Macaca mulatta: one gene and its partners. The protein of the gene in region 2 interacts with the protein of the main gene of each other region in a biochemical or structural test. Links are inferred from orthologs where the notes say so. Each region holds a gene or a part of one and is shown on either strand. Other genes may lie near its edges.

Region 1 (3,219 bases), on a different chromosome or scaffold from region 2:
GGCGTGAGCCACCGCGCCCGGCCATCTGTGCCCATTTTTACAAATAAGGAAACCACCCCGAAGAGGTTGTGAGGCCCAATGTCACATGGTTAAAGGCTAGACACTGCAAGTTTCCTTTCGTAAGAAGATCCAAGGGCTTCTCCAGCTCCTCAGACTCAGGAGTCAGACCACTGTGCTTTCTCTTATTTGCACTGCCTCACTGTTCTTCAAAACTTTCCTTGTTTAGCCAGGTGTGGTGGCTCATGCCTGTAATCGCAAGATTTTGGGAAGCTGAGGTGGGAGGATTGCTTGAGGCCAGGAGTTCTAGACCAGCCTAGGCAACATGGCAAGACCTTATCTCTAGAAAAATAAAAAAAAACAAAAAATTAGTCAGGAATGGTGACACATGCCTGTAGTCCTACCTACCCAGGAGGCTGAGGCCTGATGATTGCTTGAGCCCAGGAGTTTGAGGTTACAGTGAGCCATGACTGCGCCATTGCACTCTAGCCTGGGTGACAGAGACCCTGTCTAGAAACAAACAAACTTTTGTCTGTTTTCTACAGCAATCTCAGCCTCCTTTCCTCTTTTTCTTTTCTTTTTTTTTTTGAGATAGGGTTTTGCTTTGTCATCCAGGCTGGGGTGTGGTGGCACACCCGGCTAATTTTTGTATTTTTGTTGTTGTTGTTGAGATGGGGTTTCGCCATGTTGCTCAAGCTGTTCTTGAACTCCTGGGCTCAAGTGATCCGCCTCCCTTAGCCTCCCAGAGTGCTGGGATTGCAGGCATGAGCCACCATGCCCAGCCTCCACATCTTTTTTTGCACTGTGTATACTCTTCTGAGACATGCCAACTTTTTCCACGTCAAGAAAAGGGTATATAGCTCTCAGCTTCACTCTTTCAGGGCTGATGTCACCTTTGCCTTTTCCCACTTCACTGACCTGTCTATTCCTGCAACTGTCTCTTTCTAGAGAAACCTCAATGATCAGGACTGATAGGCCACACTCTCCCCTACCATTTTTTTCTCCTTCTTCAAGCCTCTTGTCTGTTTTACCCTCTTCCACCTTGGAGGCTGAGGTCTTATTTGACTCTTCACCTGAATTGACCTTCTTCCTTCCCACCCTCCCAGGTTCGGACTAAGGATCACCGCTTTGAGAGTGTCAGTCACCTCATCAGCTACCATATGGACAATCACTTGCCCATCATCTCTGCGGGCAGCGAACTGTGTCTACAGCAACCTGTGGAGCGGAAACTGTGATCTGCCCCAGACCTCTCTTCCAGAAGATGCCCTCCAATCCCTTCCACCCTATTCCCTAACTCTTGGGACCTCATTTGGGAGTGTTCTGCGGGCTTGGCCTTGTGTCAGAGCTGGGAGTAGTGTGGACTCTGGGTTTCATATCCAGCTGAGTGAGGGTTTGAGGGTTTGAGTCAGAAGCCTGGGGGAGAATCCTGCCTCTCCCCAAACATTGATCACCAAAGTATTAATGTACAGAGTGGCCCTTCACCTGGGCCTTTCCTGTGCCAACCTGATGCCCCTTCCCCAAGAAAGTGAGTGGTTGTCATGGAAAATGTCCTGTGGTGACAGGCCCAGTGGAACAGTCACCCTTTTGGGCAAGGGGGAACAAATCACACTTCTGTGCTTCAGGGTATCCCAGACCCTTCTCAACACCCCCACCCCACCATGTTTAAACTTTGTGCCTTTGACCATCTCTTAGGTCTGATGATATTTTATGCAGAGTTCTTGGGCCCCTGAGTTCAATGACAGGGATGCCAACACCTTCTTGGCTTCTGGGACCTGTCTTCTTGCTCAGCACTCTTTCCGGTTTGGTTTGGGATAACAGAGGCAGGAGTGGCAGCTGTCCCCTCTCCCTGGGGATATGCAACCCTTAGAGATTGCCCCAGAGCCCCCCTCCCGGCCAGGGGGGAGATGGATCCCTCCCTTGCTCAGTGCCTCCTGGCCGGGGCCCCTCACCCCAAGGGGTCTGTATATACATTTCGTAAGGCCTGCCCTCTCCCATGTTGCATGCCTATTGTACTCTACAGCCAAAGTGTAGCCCTTCCTGGAGCCTCTGCCCTGCCTCCCTTTCTGGCAGGGTGGGGTAGGGGTGACTGAATTTGGGCCTCTTGTACAGTTCACTCTCCCAGGTGGATTTTGTGGAGGTGGGAAAAAGGGCATTGAGACTCTTAAAGCAGTAGACAATCCCCAAATACCATCTGTAGAGTTGGAACTGCATTCTTTTAAAGTTTTATATGCATATATTTTAGGGCTGTAGACTTACTTTCCTATTTTGTTTTCCATGGCTTATTCTCGAGCACAAAATGGTAATCAATTATTACATTTATACATCACCTTTTTGACTTTTCCAAGCCCTTTTACAGCTGTTGGCATTTTCCTCGCCCAGGCCTGTGAGGTAACTGGGATCGCACCTTTTATACCAGACCTGAGGCAGATGAAATTTATTTCCATCTAGGACTAGAAAAACTTGGGTCTCTTACCGCGAGACTGAGAGGCAGAAGTCAGCTCGAATGCCTGTCAGTTTCATGGAGGGGAAACGCAAAACCTGCAGTTCCTGAGTACCTTCTACAGGCCCGGCCCAGCCTGGGCCCCTCTTTTGGCCTTGTGGATAAGGGACAGTTGACCGTTTTCATCCTGGACTCCTTTTGCTGTTGTTTGGATGTTTCCACGGGTCTCACTTATACCAAAGGGAAAACTCTTCATTAAAGTCCGTATTTCTTCTACCTCTGCCTCTTAATCCTGGGAAGCCTATTGTGTACGCCGCGGGCCCTTAGCTGCACAGCGGGGAGGCGGGAGGTCGCGGCCGCCGAGGGAAGCTAGGGGGTCTGCGGAGTTTGGGCGCGGCAGAGTGGGGCGTGTCGCGCCACCGTCCCCATGAAGATGTTGTGTCCGGGGGGCGGGGGCTGGCTCCGGGTGCGTCCAGGCAAGAACCCGGACTCCCCGGCGCCGCAACGCCGGCCCCCGGGACTACCTAGACCTCCCAGGCGCGCCCTCGGCTCGCGCGCGCCCCTCCGCGGTGGCTCCACCGCCCGGGATGGTACGGTCCGGCAGCAGGGCCGCGCGCCGCCGCCCCTCGGTGAGCTGGTGTGGGCCGCCGCTAGCGGAAACGACCCTCTCCACTCGCGTGGTGCAGTGGTAAGCCTCGCCCCTCGCCTGCCGCCTGTTTTCTGGCGTGGGGTCTCGTCCGGTCCTTGCTCCCCCTCCCCGCCGCGCTTAGTGGTGGTGGCCG
Region 2 (4,210 bases):
GAGTGCTTTGTCTGCCCTACAGACTCACCTGCTGTGCGTGTTGCTACAGCAGGGAGGTGCTGGGGGCCCTGTCCTGGGACAACCATCAGCGTGACGCACGTTGAGCCCCTGGGCACATGTGAGCTCCTTTACGAGCTACGTCCTTCAAATTAGACAAGAAGAAACCAAGGCCGAGAGAGAGAAGAAACTTGACCAGGTTCCCACAGCTTGAATGTGGTGGCGCTGCCTGGCTGGTGCCACTGCCTGGCTGGTGCCCCTTCCTGGAGGGGGTCTGTTGTCATGTCCTGGAGCCCAAGGCCTGGATGTGGGATGAGGGGACACTCCTTGTGCAGCGGGTCAACACCTGCCCCTTCAGCCTTGGTGGGCCTGACCCAAGGATGGAGGGTACCCAGGTCTGGGGGCTGAGGGATGGGTGTCCACTGCAGAGCCCTCAGAAATGACTGGTCCTGGATGGCAGTCCCTGGAGAGGCAGCTCCCCTTGGAGAGGTGGGCAAATGTGGCCATGCCCAGCCTTGGAGGAGGTACAGTCTGACCAGCCACCCCGACTGCTGAGATGCAGGACTCAGGACCCCGTGTTATCCTTGGCCAGGCGGCCAGCCTGCCCTGTGGGGCTTTGGGGTTCTCCTCTCCGAGCTTGTTTCCCCAGCATCCTGGAGAAGCCCAGAGAAAAAGTCAGCCTGTGTTCCCACTGTAAATGGTCCACATCCCCTCCAAGCTCCCTTTGTGTGTCTCCAAGCTGGACTGCAGGGATAAGAGCTGTGCTGCCCGTGCAGCATCCACCGGCCCCTGGGAATGAGGGGAATGCAGTCACAGAGCCGTCACTTGGACCTCGGCACCCTCGGCTGGTGGTGGCCAAGGTCTCCCAGCACCCAGGCCGCTGGGAGTCTCTAAAGGGGAGTGGTGGGGCTTGACTGTCCCCTCCCCCTCAAGTTTGCTCTGTCCTGGGCAGGCTGTAGTCCCAGTTGAGAAGCTGTGCCCCCTTGGGTGTTTTAGGGGTTCAGGATGGGCGTTGAAAAGCCCTGGGGGAGAGCAGAAGGCTCAGGGACCTGTCTAGGGCGTGGCATCCCATGTGGGCGTCAGCATGGCCGCAGAAGAACCACTCTTCGGGCCCACCCATGCCTGCTAGGCCATGCTTCTTCAGAAGTGGCCACGACTCTCCTGACATCTCCAGAGCCGGTCATTCTGCCCAGTGGGACTTCAGCTGTCCCTGGACACTTCACTTGTAGGCTGCGACCTGTTGCCAGGAAGGAGAGGGCCGGTGAAGGAGCCGCAGTAGCCGTGGCGGGGTGTGGGGGACGGTGGATGGCCAGGGCTTCCCCCCGCCCTCTCTCGCTTGGTTTCTGTAATGAGGAAGTTCTCCGCCGCTCAGTTTCCTTTCCCTCGCTGAGCGCCTGAAACAGGAAGTCAGCCAGTTAAGCTGGTGGCAGCAGCCGAGGCCACCAAGAGGCAACAGGCGGCAGGTTACAGCAGAGGGGCCTCCGCTCCCCTCGGTGGCGTGTGGGTCCTGGGGTTGCCCGCTGGCCCGGCCGAGGAGGCCCATGCCCACCATGGTCCCCTGCTGGAACCACGGCAATATCACCCGCTCCAAGGCGGAGGAGCTGCTCTCCAGGACGGGCAAGGATGGGAGCTTCCTCGTGCGTGCCAGCGAGTCCATCTCCCGGGCATACGCGCTCTGCGTGCTGTGAGTACAACCTGCTCCGTCCCCGGGCACAGAGATGACAGAGAGGCTTAGAGGGGGCCCAGCACTGGGATGGGTTGTTCTTATGTCACAGGACAAAGTGATCTGCCATGCACACTTCCCCGCCACCCTGTCATGGACCTTGTCCTTGGACCTTGGCCTTGGAGTTCAGAGAGCTGGTCTCGTGGCAGATTTTGCAGCCTTGGAGCTGTCAGAACCACTCCGAGGCCTGATCTTACACCCCAGCTTCCCATGAGCTGTGTGGTGCCCGGGGCTTCCTTGAAGTCTGGGGAACGAGAGAACGAGTTTGGGCTTTTTGAACCAGGAGGAAGCTCAGGGCTCCTTGGAGGTGGGTGTGTTAGAGATCAGTTCAAAGATGCCCAGCTCAGAAACCCTGAGAAGAGCAAAGGTGGCAAGGGGGACCCTTCCTGGAGCACCCAGGCTTTGGGACCCTGGGGGCAGCTGTTGTTCGGCGAGCCAAGCATATGGGCTGAGTTTAATCAAGAAAGGACTTTCCGTTCGCTCACCACTACCACGAGCGAGCAGCCTCTTCTCTGTCTCCTGAGCACTTGGCTGTGACCGCTGCCCACCCCCACCCCTCAATTTGGGTCTCTGTCACCATCAACTCCTCCCACTGCCCGGTTGGGGATGTTACTGAATGTGCCAGCTGTGCTAGCAATGGAGGAACCAGCCACTTGCTGAAGGTTCCTTTCTAAAACCCCCTTCCTGTCCAGTGTCTGAAGGAGGCCCTTGCCCTGCAGCTCTTGGTCTAATCATTTTGCCGAGGCCTCGGGCAGTGCCAGGGTGTAGTCAGGGAAGGGTATGTCCACCCGAACATCTCCAGTAGCATCCCCGGGCTAGCAGAAATGTTCCCCCAAGCGGAGAGGGCCTTGCCCTTCTTCAGGCAGGAGGGGAAGTGGGTGATGAACCCAGACCTGTTTTGAATACTGACTCACAGCTGGGGCCTGCTGTGCTAAGCATTTGTTAGCCCATTTCATCCTCACCACAACCTGAAGTGAAGGTCCTGTCAAAAGCCCCACTTTGCAGATGAGAAATCTGAGGCCCTGGCAGTTAAGTGAGTGACAACAGTCAAAGCCATGGCCATCTGCCCCCAGAGGCTGCAGCTGAGACCAGCAGCCTGTGGACCGACCTCTCCTGCTCCCAGTCTAGCGGGGCATGCATGTAGCCTTGTGGGGCTGGAGGCAGAAGCAAGGGCAGCCGGAGTGTTTACAGGGTCGGCTGGGGCACTGGAAGCCAACCCAGGCTCACAGCTGGTCGCTGGCCTGTGCTGACAATCTGCAGCCCCACCTCCAAGACTGGCTTCCTGTGCCCCCTCTCTCATGCCTCAGGGGAAGGAACGCAGGCCCAGGCTGCCTGGACTTCCCCAGTGGGGACCTGCTGCTGCCGGGGCCTTAGAAGGGGCAGGAAGATTCTCTTAGGCATCTCACAAGCCCAGTCTGACTCCACCCGGCCCATGTGGATTATTTGGATTTCTCTCCTGGCCCAGTGGGATCTTGTCCTGGCTGCTTGGTGTTGGCTGAGCCGAGGGCTTCCAGGGCCCCATCTCATTAACCTTCGATGCAGCTCTTTGACCAGGGCTTTGTGGTTGCTCAAGTTACAGACATGGGATGTGGGTCTCTCTGACTCCAAGCTGTGAGCATCTTAATGTCTAGGATCAGCCTGAGCCAGAGTCAGAGCTGGAAAGGTCTTGGAAAAGCTCTGGTGCAACAGCCCTGGCTTTTCAGGGGGTAGACAGAGTGCAGAGAGCCTGAGGCCTTTGTCCACCATGCTGGCTGGGGGCAAAACTGCTGGCTTCCAGGCCAGTTCCCGTATTCCTTCCTCCACCTCTTCTCTCGGAACCCTTGTCTGCACTGAGTTACTCTCAGAGTCATGACAGGTGTGCAGTGTCTGCTCCTTAGAAAGGGACCTGTGGTGCCCACAGAGGTCCACTATCCTCTTAGCCAAAGCCTCATCAGCCTCCTATCCTGAGGCTGCTGGGTTGCAAACACCAGGAGCCCCACCCCTTGGCCAGACAAACCCTGGGCTCAGGGTTCCCCTTTCTCCTCTGCTCAGCGTAGGAAGCTTCCGTTCCTGCAGGGTCAGGCTCCACTGTAGGCTGTGGGACGCGATGGACCTGCAGACTTTCCACACATCTGCAGGCTTCATGTGGCTGCTACCCTGGATTTTGCCAATTACGGAGATTTTAAAACTAAAAAGTAATTAAATGAATGATAACAAACTGTCATCCTCCAACATCTCATTTCTTGAAAGAAAGCAGCCTTTGACAACAAAAAAGGCAGGAAGGGCATACAAAAAAAAAAAAAAAAAAAAAAAAAAAGACCAGTCATTTAAAGCAAAGAGATTGAACTTCTTGAAAAACAAACCCCACCACCCCCTAGTTTTCTCTGTTCCCTGCGGAGTGGCCGCAGCCTGCTGGACATGGCAAAGGCAGGCAGCCCCAGGCTGAGGGGTGTGCAGGGCAGCTGGGTTTATCTGCAGCTGCAGAAGTAGCAGCATTTGCTCCCCAGCCCT
Region 3 (3,500 bases), on a different chromosome or scaffold from region 2:
AACTTCCAGTTTTGTACACTGCCTGCACTGAATTGCTCCAGGTTGTCACACCCCCATATTCATTAGGTCTCATCTGGATTCATTGACAGGGAAGTGCTGGGATCTACCTGGGAAGTGTAGTTTTATTTTAAAAATTGTTTTCTAGGGAGAAATTTTTGTGGAGACTTTCTGATCACTGAAAAACTGGCAAACATCAATGAGTAATGACCAAAATCCAATGTGCCAAGTGCCACGAGAGAGGATTATGTATTCAGCTCTCTGAGAGGACAGTTGAGGGGTCATGAGTCCAGCTTGGAGGGTCATTCTTCCTGGGCCTGACCCTTCAGAATTTCTGACAGTCACTACTTTCCATTAGTAGTTGCCTCAGCACTGCTTGGAGGGAGTCACATTAGATGTGGTGTTTATAACATCATGGTTAAGAATTTATCCTCTGAAGTCAAACTGCTGTCTTTACAAAGAGTAAACAAATAAGCTGGGTGCAGTGGCATGCACCTGTAGTCCCAGCTACGAGGGAAGTTGAGGTGGGGGGATCACCTCAAGCCTAGGAGTTCAAGGCTGCAGTGGGCTGTGATTGTGCCACTGCACTTCAGCCTGGGTGACAGAGTGAGACCCTGTCTCTGACAAACAAAACAAAAGAAAACAAAAACAACACCAAACTGACTAGGTTTCAGGCTCATCATTCTCACTGTGTAACTTAAGCCAGTTACTTAAGCTCTTTCTAACTCAGTTTCCTCACCTATAAAATGGGGATAAGGGTCATTGTTAAGTTAAATAGTTAAAATGTATAAAACATTTGTACATTTTCACCATTTTATTCCTTTTAACTTAAACGGTTAAAATGTATAAAGTGCGAAACCTGCCTGTCACATAGTAAGTACTCAAGATTTTAGCTATTGGTCTATGGGATCCTTCAGACTAGGGACAAAGAGCTTGGGGACAAGGGGAGGCAGATGGGGGGATACACTTTAAGGTGCTCCTAGGCTCTGGGCTCCTCATACCCATCCCCAACCTATTGGCTTAAGGGAAATCACATCCAGCTGCCCACATTGCTCACTCTTCCCGCTACTTTCAGCTTGGGTTCTCTTTCCTAGGATGCCAGGGATCAGCTGACCATGTGTTTAGCATCTTGGGAATGCCCCTTCAGTTACAACCAAACAGCATACAGACAAAGATTTACAATGTTCAGTGGAAGATGTGGCTGCCCTCACAAAATACATTTCGTCAGATATTGCAGTGGGAGAATGGCTCTTCGCCTTCCAATACCTTCAACAATAGATTCAGTTTTATAATCAAGAACTCGACTCTTCTCATCAAGGCAGCTCAGCAGCAGGACAGTGGCCTCTACTGCCTGGAGGTCACCAATACGATGGGACAAGTTCAGAGAGCCATGTTCCAGGTTTTTGTATTTGGTAAGTCTCCAGGACTGCTCATACTGCCCTCTCTGATTCCTGTAGGCCTCTAATTTCTGTATTTCCATGCCTTTCTGATCAGCATCTCTGCTTCCAGATAAAGTTGAGAAACCCCGCCTACAGGGGCAGGGCAAGATCCTGGACAGAGGGAGGTGCCAAGTGGCTCTGTCCTGCTTGGTCTCCAGGGATGACAATGTGACCTATGCTTGGTACAGAGGCAGCAAGCTGATCCAGACAGCAGGGAACCTCACCTACCTGGAGGAGGAGGTTGACATTAATGGCACGCACACATATACCTGCAACGTCAGCAATCCTGTTAGCTGGGAAAGCCACACCCTGAATCTCACTCAGGACTGTCAGAATGCCCATCACGGTAAGTGGAACACACTGGGCTATAACAAGGGCTGAAGGTTTGGACCCACAACCAGGCTCATGTGTAAGACAGACGTGGTATGAGATAAAATCCCTTGGCTTCCTCTCCCAGTGCCTTGTAGCCCTTCCCAGGGGAGTCCTGGCCTCCAAGCACATAGTTCCTGTAAAGCTATCCTACTCTGGAAAAAAAATTATCCCTGTTTCCTTCTGGGAGATGCAAGCTTTTCTTCTGCAGAGGGAGGACACAGTTTTTTGGTGAGTGACAGTCCTGAAATGGCTCCTGAACATTATTTTCTTCCTGAGAGAGGCTAATGGAGAACTGTTCTCTCCTCTTGAGTGATAACTTTCTCCAGGCCACATAGTTCAAGAGGTAACTATACTGTGCAGCAGTAGCCTGGAGCGGGAGCATGAGAATGATCCCAGGGATACCTAGATGAGTTCTTGGGTTGTTGCTTACGCTCATCCTACGAGTTACCTGAGTTCACTTTCCACAACTTTTTATTATATAAACAGAGACTTCATATGCCAGCAGCATGGGCACTATAGGAAAAAAAAATACAGTTCTCATTAATAAGGAACTTACAGCCAAGTAAGGGCAACTAAAATAAGTACTTTTGCACAAAAAATAAACAAGACTGAGGCAGGCTGGGAGCAGTGGCTCATGCCTGTAATCCCAGCACTTTGGGAGGCCGAGGAGGGTGGATCACAAGGTCAGGAGTTTGAGACCAGCCTGGCCAACATGGTGAAACCCTGTCTTTATTAAAACTACCAAAAATTAGCTGGGCATGTGGCTGGCACCTGTAATCCCAGCTACTCGGGAGGCTGAGGCAGCAGAATCCCTTGAACCCGGGAGGCGGAGGTTGCAGTGAGCCGAGATCGCGCCACTGAACTGGGACACCAGCTTCATCATTCAGAAGCTCTGTGATCTCTTAGAGGTCAGGTGTGGTGACTCACACCTGTAATCCTAGCACTTTGGGAGGCTGAGGCAGGTGGATCACTTGAGTCCAGGTGTTTGAGACCAGCCTGGACAACATGGTGTAATCCCATCCCTAATAAATAAATTTAAAAAAACAAAAAAAGCTCTGTGATCTCTGGCAGATTCATTAACCTCTCTGAGTCTCAATTTTTCCCCCCTTGGGTAAAATGGGGATGATAATAAGTACCTCGGAACCCTTAATTCCTTTCCCTTCCTCTCATTGGCTGGATTATGTATCAGGCTACATGTTTGACACAAATGTTTTAAGTAGAAGCTCAAATGAGGAAGAACCATGAAGGCAGGAATAGTGGAAAAGAGAGATGGAAAACTTGCCTGGACAATGAGTATTTTTTGAGTTAAAAACAAATGAATGGATAAATGTAACATTTGTTGTGCTAGATGCTTTACATGTCCCTCAGTATCCATGGGGAATTAGTTCCAGGACCCATGCCATAACCACAGATGCCAAAATCCACGAATATTTAAGTCCTTGGTATAAACAGGTGCAGTATTTGCATATAACCTATGCACATCCTTCTGTATACCTTACTTAAATAATCTCAGATTAATTACAATGTCTGATACAATGTAAGTGCTATTTAAATTGTTGTTATACTGTATTGTTTAGGGAATAATGACAAAGAAAGAAGTGTCTACATATTCAATATGGATGCAATTTTTTTCCTCTGAATATTCTGGATCCACAATTCATTAAATCTACAGTTGTGGAACTCAAAACTTTG

Evidence for each region. The genes of interacting proteins can lie anywhere in the genome.
Region 1: the proteins of INPP5D (region 2) and SHC1 form a complex in vitro, tested with the Homo sapiens proteins (2 studies listed by BioGRID and IntAct, with this or other methods). The link is inferred for Macaca mulatta from reciprocal best matches to the Homo sapiens genes INPP5D and SHC1.
Region 3: the proteins of INPP5D (region 2) and CD244 interact in a biophysical measurement, tested with the Homo sapiens proteins (2 studies listed by IntAct). The link is inferred for Macaca mulatta from reciprocal best matches to the Homo sapiens genes INPP5D and CD244.

Annotation. Positions count from the first base shown.
Region 1 is NC_133406.1:112,039,266-112,042,484, forward strand, and holds the end of SHC1 (SHC-transforming protein 1), read left to right. Parts: exon of another isoform or gene 1-366; intron 367-1,103; coding exon 1,104-1,232; 3' UTR 1,233-2,719; downstream 2,720-3,219. UniProt on the Homo sapiens protein: Signaling adapter that couples activated growth factor receptors to signaling pathways. Participates in a signaling cascade initiated by activated KIT and KITLG/SCF.
Region 2 is NC_133417.1:138,332,530-138,336,739, forward strand, and holds the start of INPP5D (phosphatidylinositol 3,4,5-trisphosphate 5-phosphatase 1), read left to right. Parts: upstream 1-1,410; 5' UTR 1,411-1,538; coding exon 1,539-1,681; intron 1,682-4,210. UniProt on the Homo sapiens protein: Phosphatidylinositol (PtdIns) phosphatase that specifically hydrolyzes the 5-phosphate of phosphatidylinositol-3,4,5-trisphosphate (PtdIns(3,4,5)P3) to produce PtdIns(3,4)P2, thereby negatively regulating the PI3K (phosphoinositide 3-kinase) pathways.
Region 3 is NC_133406.1:106,022,122-106,025,621, forward strand, and holds part of CD244 (natural killer cell receptor 2B4), read left to right. Parts: intron 1-1,091; coding exon 1,092-1,409; intron 1,410-1,491; coding exon 1,492-1,782; intron 1,783-3,500. UniProt on the Homo sapiens protein: Heterophilic receptor of the signaling lymphocytic activation molecule (SLAM) family; its ligand is CD48.